Linked DNA regions of Tribolium castaneum. The protein of the gene in region 1 interacts with the protein of each later gene in a pairwise test. Links are inferred from orthologs where the notes say so. Each region holds a gene or a part of one and is shown on either strand. Other genes may lie near its edges.

What was found.
Region 2: the proteins of BTB/POZ domain-containing protein KCTD9 (region 1) and tun interact in binary tests that used the Homo sapiens proteins (3 or more experiments, as listed by UniProt). The link is inferred for Tribolium castaneum from reciprocal best matches to the Homo sapiens genes KCTD9 and NTAQ1.

Annotation. Positions count from the first base shown.
Region 1 is NC_087395.1:16,846,912-16,850,328, reverse strand, and holds BTB/POZ domain-containing protein KCTD9, read right to left. Parts: upstream 2,006-3,417; 5' UTR 1,904-2,005; coding exon 1,850-1,903; intron 1,797-1,849; coding exon 792-1,796; intron 746-791; coding exon 629-745; 3' UTR 501-628; downstream 1-500. UniProt on the Homo sapiens protein: Substrate-specific adapter of a BCR (BTB-CUL3-RBX1) E3 ubiquitin-protein ligase complex, which mediates the ubiquitination of target proteins, leading to their degradation by the proteasome.
Region 2 is NC_087396.1:24,512,212-24,516,407, reverse strand, and holds the start of tun (protein N-terminal glutamine amidohydrolase), read right to left. Parts: upstream 2,801-4,196; 5' UTR 2,636-2,800; coding exon 2,520-2,635; intron 2,514-2,519; exon of another isoform or gene 1,862-2,513; coding exon of another isoform or gene 1,830-1,861; intron 1,781-1,829; coding exon 1,627-1,780; intron 1,577-1,626; coding exon 1,303-1,576; intron 881-1,302; coding exon 756-880; 3' UTR 1-755. Other genes in the region: uncharacterized protein LOC663387, read right to left, coding at 2,854-3,012, 3,079-3,467, 3,512-3,575; MTPAP (poly(A) RNA polymerase, mitochondrial), read left to right, coding at 3,651-3,747, 3,793-3,974, 4,023-4,196. UniProt on the Homo sapiens protein: Mediates the side-chain deamidation of N-terminal glutamine residues to glutamate, an important step in N-end rule pathway of protein degradation.

The DNA of each region.
Region 1 (3,417 bases):
ATTATTAAATTACTGGTATTAATCTAATAATATTAGATAATTACTAAAATAGGAACCTCTAGGGCCGTTTTATAGAAAGCTCAATTTAAGTTGATTGCTCTGTTAAAAGTTAGCTACTCGAAGAGACCAATCAAATTGCTACAATTTGGTCACGTGATCAGTTAATCACGCAATTAATTGCGAACTAAATTAATGACGTTTCTGTAAACCGGTCCTTAAACTTTACCGTGCCGTCTATGCGTGTGAAAACTGTAAAACTGTTTCTGTAAAACAGAAAATTACAGTAATCTACAAATTTCTGGAAACCATTTTAAAGTTACAGACTCAAAATTGTGCAAAATTTGTAAACCTTGTAGTTTTCTCAATTTGCGGTAAATGACGCAACTTACAATGCCATGCGTGGATGATTTTTCAAAATTACGAATTTTCATTTAACTTTTAATCCTCATTTGACCTGAAACTCGTGTTCCTTAATTTTCAACAAAAGCCCAAATACCGACTTTCATGTCCATAACTTTAATAATTCTTTAAAAATGACGTAAAACATAATACATAATAAAAATTACATCGCAATACACAACCTAGGCTAGTTTAATGGTAAATTTATACAAAATCGATCACAACCACTTTAACGAATCGTCTGCGACATGTGCAGCGGAGTCAGCATGAGTTCAAACGCGGCGTCCTTTAAATTCGCCCCCCTCAAGTTAGCTTCATGCAAATCGCTACCCGACAAGTCGCAAAACTGTAACAGCCCCAATTATTTCACAAAATAGCCCTTCTCACGTTACCTCCAAGTCCGCCCCGGCCAAGACGGCGGCTCGCAGGTCGCAGTTCTGCAAATTGGCGTTCTTCAAGGTGGCCACCCTCAGGTTGACCCCGCCCATGTCGCTGCCCTCCAGGTTGGCCCCCTTCAGGTTGACGCCCTCCATGTTGGCCCTGCCCCCGGCCGGGTCCTTGAAATTCGAGTTCTTCATGCTGACGCCCTCCAGGTTGGCGCACAGGCACTTCACGCCCAGGAGCTGGGCCCCGTCCAGGTTGGCGTAGGACAGGTCGGCCCTCTCCAGGCAGCAGTAGCTCAGGTTGGAGCCGGTCAGCTTGCAGCCTTGCAGGTTGGCGTACTTGAAGTTGATGTAACGCAGGTCCAGTTTGCTCAAATCAGCGCCTGATAAATTGACTCCTTGGAAGCGCAGCTCGGTCGTGTAGGCACTTCGGATTAAGGCGTCGATCACATCACGTCGGGTTAGCGGTAAATTGTCTCTGTTCACACTCTGCTGGGCGATTATCTGCTCCAAGGTGGGGATTATTGACTCAATCCCGAAAAAGCGCGCCTCTTCGAGGATCCCCTCAGGGTTTATGTTACTATCATAGATTAATTGACCGTTTCTTAAGTAGTTGATTATGGGTTCGAAGTATAAGGGGCTCCGATCGATGAGAAAAGCCCCGTTTTTGTCGATATTGCTGGGAGTGAACAAATAACCGTCCTCATCGCCCGCGAACATTCGCGCCAACATGCTGTCGGGCTCTTTGGTCGTTAGAGTGCTTTTAGACGTTGTGAAGTACTTCCCACCAACATTCAGCGTAACCCAGTCTGAGCATTTTACTCTTTTGGTGGCATTTTTCGGGGGAGGAATGAACTCCTCGCCACTTGAAACGTACAGATTGTCGTTATTGCGCACAAAGGAAATTTCGGTGACTTCGGTCCCGTCTTCGATAAACAAGCGACGGACTTTCGAGTTAAACCTTAAATACGCCTGGCTCACTAACTCTTCCAAGGTTTGCGGAAGTGCAAAAACCTGGAAAAATTACTTTTAAGTGTTAACACCACCTGGGAATCCCTCAGGCCCACTTCTCCATTCGTGTTCGTCCCGTTCCTGAATATGACCACCCGTTTTTCGCTCATTTTATTAAAATTAAACCCTAACAACAATTCGCAAATTCAAGGAAATTGATGTCAAGTGGCAAGACGTCACAAACTGGATGTCGATGGTGCTGGCACCATGAAAATTACAGTCGACCAGACAATCGCTGCGCGCGATTCTCGTTTTCTATAGCCAAGTTCACACTAGGAAAATTATCAAAATAATCGTAATTTTTTTTGCAGGAGATTAAGCCCTTCGCTAGGGCCTTTGACTGTAAAAAAATCATGTTCGGACAAACACCCCTTGATACCTTAATGAATTTTTAAAGATTCTTTAAGATTTCCCGATTTCGCAAACATAATTTTTTTTTCACCCCCTTTATATCCCGCAATTTTCTTTATTTTTGAAAGAGATTAAGCCCTTCGATAGGGCCTTCGACTGTAAGAAAATCATGTTTGGACAAAGACCCCTTGGGACCTTAATGAATTTTTAAAGATTCTTTAAAATTTCCCGATTTCACAAACTTTATTTTTTTCAATCTCTTTATATTCCGCAATTTTTTTTATTGTTGAAGGAGATTAAGCCATTCGATAGGACCTTCGACTGTAAAAAAATCATGTTCGGACAAACACCCCTTGAGACCTTAATGAATTTTTAAAGATTCTTTAAGATTACCAGATTTCGCAAACTTAATTTTTTTTCCACCCCCTTTATATCCCGCAATTTTCTTTATTTTTGCAAGAAATTAAGCCCTTTGATAGGGTTTTCCACTGTAAAAAATCATGTTTGGACAAACACCTCTTGGGACCTTAACGATTTTTTTAAATTTTTATAAAGATTCTCTATTTTGCAAACTTTATTTTTTTTCACCCACTTTATATCTTGCAATTTTTTTATTTTTGCACAAGATTAAGCCCTTCGATAGGGCCTTCGACTGTAAGAAAATCATGTTTGGACAAAGACCCCTTGGGACCTTAATGAATTTTTAAAGATTCTTTAAGATTTCCCGATTTCGCAATTTTTATTTTTTTCACCCTCCTTATATCCCGCAATTTTTTTTATTTTTGCAGAAGAATATGCCCTTCGCTAGGGCCTTCGACTGTAAAAAAAAAATATGTTCGGACAAACACCTCTTGAGACCTTAACGATTTTTTTAATTTTTATAAAGATTCTCTATTTTGCAAACTTTATTTTTTTTCACCCACTTTATATCTTGCAATTTTTTTATTTTTGCACAAGATTAAGCCCTTCGATAGGGCCTTCGACTGTAAGAAAATCATGTTTGGACAAAGACCCCTTGGGACCTTAATGAATTTTTAAAGATTCTTTAAGATTTTCCGATTTCGCAATTTTTATTTTTTTCACCCTCCTTATATCCCGCAATTTTCTTTATTTTTGCAGAAGAATATGCCCTTCGCTAGGGCCTTCGACTGTAAAAAAATTATGTTCGGACAAACACCTCTTGAGACCTTAACGATTTTTTTTAATTTTTAAGAAGATTCTCTATGTTGCAAACTTTATTTTTTTTCACTCCCTTTATATCCCGCAATTTTCT
Region 2 (4,196 bases), on another chromosome or scaffold:
TGAGTTTTCAAGTGCTTTATTGAATTTAACAATAAGACGAGAGTTACAAAACTGACTAAGCTACGTACAAGTAACACTTATTTAGGCCTTTGTTCTAAGCAAAAGAATTCTTAAATAATTTGTACTTTAATATACTTATCATAAAAACAAGAAAAGTAGTAAAACATTCCACAAAAAACTGATTGTACTTGCAAATGGCGTAATAAATTTCACGTTTGTGTATATTGGAAGGCAAATGTGCAGTCTTAGTAAAAATTTGAATTGAAAACTGTACGGCCTTAAAGATACGCTAAAAACCGACAGATTAAACGAATCTTATCAACACCAAGATTTTAGAATTGGAACATGACACAATGTACATCACATGGATTATAAAAGTTTGGTAAATCTTATATAAATTTGTGGACATGTAACATTAAACTACGTAATGAAAACTCCCCCTCAACATCGTCTTTCCTAAAGAAAAATATCACATTTTAAGTGAAATGTAAGCATAAGAAACATGTGGATGGCAAGATTAAAATGAGCACATCAAGCTAAAAAATCAGTACTTCAATCGCTTAAAAATCCGTAACAAGACATCAAAATCCCAATCAACATTCAAGAGGATATAGAGTAAAAGTTTGAGAGAAATATATACCAAGACAGAGAAAAGATTTTCGATGACAGACATTTATTAGATTATGCTCTCTTATTATAGTTAAGAGCACAAATCAAAATTGACTTAGTTTGTTCACTCTTTCGTCTTAGAATAACTATGTTGCAGGCTTATAAAAGCGTTGCACGAATTGGGTCAAATTCAGGACCTGACCGGGGCCCTTGCTCAAGTCCATTTGGATGTAGTCCTCCAGATTGTGAGCAGTTGCTGAAAAAAACATTTCTTTTTTTTTTAATAGTTTTAAATCGGTATCTGTAACCGTATTCGCAACGTTTTGAAAAATATCGGACAGTGTACAAATTGGTAAAACTTTGAAATTTTTTTAAATATAGTTTAAATTAACATTTTTGCATTATGTTTATGTCTTACTATTGAGAATTTAACGCTCTATCTGTCTGTATTTTTTTCTTCACCTTGTGCTAACCGTTATATTAATACAACCATTTTTTGAAATAATTTTCGACGGTAATGAAACTGCGCTCTTGGGCGACATTAACGGAACTATCACAGACGGGAACGTTTTATTCCTAAGCTTTAGATATTCGTTTTGTTGACAATGCACAAGCGCAGCAAAAAAAACATTTTATAGAGTTTCCACCTATATTTTATTAGGCATTTTTGGACCTAAAAATTCGATTACTTACCAGCTGTCTGAATGGCGGGGTAATTAGGCGGTGGCTTAATCCACGTGCCATCTGGCCTCTTCATATGCCTTCTATCCGACGAAAAATCCCTCAGAAATTCCGCCGCTGGAATCACTCTAAAATATCTAAAATAATCCGGTTTCAAAATGTGGTCCGTGCGAAACGTTTCCGTCACGTATTTGTGAACGTATGTGGGAAACGGTAATTCGGAATCTAAATCGTAAACCAAGCATTTTTCCGGCTCAGGATGATACAAAAAAATCACATGATAGTCCTGCAAAAAACGTGATTTCCACACGTTTTGACTGGATGTTAAACACAAACCCAAATAACTAATCTATCCTCGTCTTTCCCCGCCCGTTGTCTCCACAAAGGAACGGTCCGACTTGGATTTGAGACAAAAACTACGAAACATTTATTTAATTCAGTCGAGTGTCTCGTCGACACGTCTTGACACAACTTGTAAACGTTCTCTTCACTGCAACAAAAACCATCAAATGATATTCACAAAATCGCGAGCAAAATACCATTTGACTAAAAAAGTGGCTACTTTTTCCATGCTTTATGGAGGGTTGCCAAAGCTGTGTGAATAACAACAACAATACAAAGGTGTGCGCATGAATGTGCATGTGGTGAAAATTTCAGGCATTAATTATGCAAAAACCGGAAAACACCAAATAAACTCTGATTGAAGAAACTTGCAGAATCACAATTCATAATAAAATATTGAAAAAGCGTGGCATGTCCAAGCACCATAAAGCGACAATTAGATTATAATTTATAGCACAAAATCGATCCTTTTTGCATAACTTAAATAAATAAATGTAAAACAATGTGTTTTTTACGAACTGACGCAAACGCACAAGGTTGTATGTTGTATTTCAATCACTTCTTCGGCTAATTAGCAAAATAACGAAGGAGTGCCCGATTTTGTTAATTTTTTCTATATGTACTTAGCCCCAATTTAATCACACACACGCTCTAGAGGGAACAAAAAATAATTGATATGCGTAGGTCACGCAAACAGATTTCTTCCTGTGGTACAATTTTAAACGAATTTTTCGAAATCGCGCACCGAACCACCAAGACAATAAAAATAAATCTTACGTAAAGCACCTTGCAATAAGAATAGCAACGCTGCGGCACTATTAAATATCAAAACAACGAACCTAACCTCAAAACCAAAAACATCAAAATTTTGAGTTTTAGACACTCACCAGTAGCAGGACACGTGCGAACACTCGGCCTGCTTGGGGAATAGATTAATTGGGTTTTTCTTGTTGTTTTCCGAATTGGGTCGTTGTATAATTTGGGTTTTAGAATCAGACGCCATGTCTTTGAGTTGGTTGCTTTAAAAAAGGGGGGAAAAACGTCCAGCAGTTCCTCTAGACTTGATCACCTTCACCCAAAATCTTTTTGTTGATTGTTGATATTGGAAAAAATGCCGCACTGCACTATTTCATCACATATTTGACAAGTACGACCTTGGAGGTCAAAAACAGGGGCACCAAAGCACGCGCACTGACTGGTGTCTATGGTCACATTTTTGAATCAGGTAAATTTTCGATGGCCTGTTTCCACAAGCAAAACTTCCAATTTTGAATTAATTGAATCGCTTATTTTGTACTGATAGGTCCATAAGGCGGCTAGAAACATTGCTTCGTCCGAGTTCTTCGCATGTGCGATGTTTTCCAAAACGAATTCTTTCACCTGGAATTTAAAGGCATTGAAAACAATTTTGCTTTAACTGGCTGAATCTTTAATGATCTAACTCACCTCAAATTCTTCCCCGTACGCTTTTATAACACTTTCGACCAAATTGGCCAAAGATTTTAAATTGAGTGAAATAAATAACGGACTGCCATTTTGTTGCAACTTTTCCGTAGCCCTCATTTGATTGGAGAACAGAATTAACGCCTCCTTGTAATGCCTCAAAGACTGTACTAATCCGTACAAATCATTGGTTAATTGTTCCAAATTTGGGGACAAATCTTTGGGATTATCGGCCTTCAAAGACGCAATTTCCTTAACAACGGTGCACCCCTTGATATGTAAATCATTCCACTTCTGGATATTGTTGTAAACATCGGCCACCAAATCCCGCACGATTCGGGGAAGTCCCGTCAAATTTTTCTGGGGTGACACCTGGGCTGGACTCTCATGCACTAAAACGAAGCGTGATTCTCACCAAATAACAAATTATACGTACGAGTAACCGGCGAAAAGCCACAAATTGTAGAATTGTTTGTTTTTTTGGGCGTCTTGTCACACATGTTCCTAGCTAACCTCACAAATCCAACACATGGAGTGACGTGACTTTGGCCACTTCCGCGGCAGCCCCCTCAAAAATGTCGGTTTTTTTGACTTGCCGTTTGAAAAATTCAATTGGGCGAAAGAAATTCTTCAATTTCAGTAGTGATATTGTACGCCAATTGTCTCAACAAGGTAAAGTTTAAGTTATGTCACTGGTTTTTTGATGTGGGCTTTCAGTGAAGCAAAATGAGTCGTTTGTGCCCTTTATGGACGTTATAAAATTTCGGCGAGAGGAGGCCAGACGCAGTATTTTAGTGCAAGTCCAATCGGCTCAGTCCTTTAAAGAACTCCACTCGTATTGCAATTCTGTGGGGAATGTTAGGCAAATGTTGCACTACACAGTTGGGGTTGAACCACTGGTAAATGCCTAAACGTCTATGATTTTTTTGTATTTTGGGCCGTTTTAGAATTTCATTGTGGTGGAATTTGCATCCGAAAAGGACGTAACCAATGTTCTTGAGCGCAGTTCTTATCTGGAAGACAGTCAAGTGGTTCCAGTCCAGTCACAATTTTTGTGGTTTAGGGCTTCAAATCGTAAATTACCAAAATTAAAGCAGTCCAAAAGTGCCATTTTAAGCATT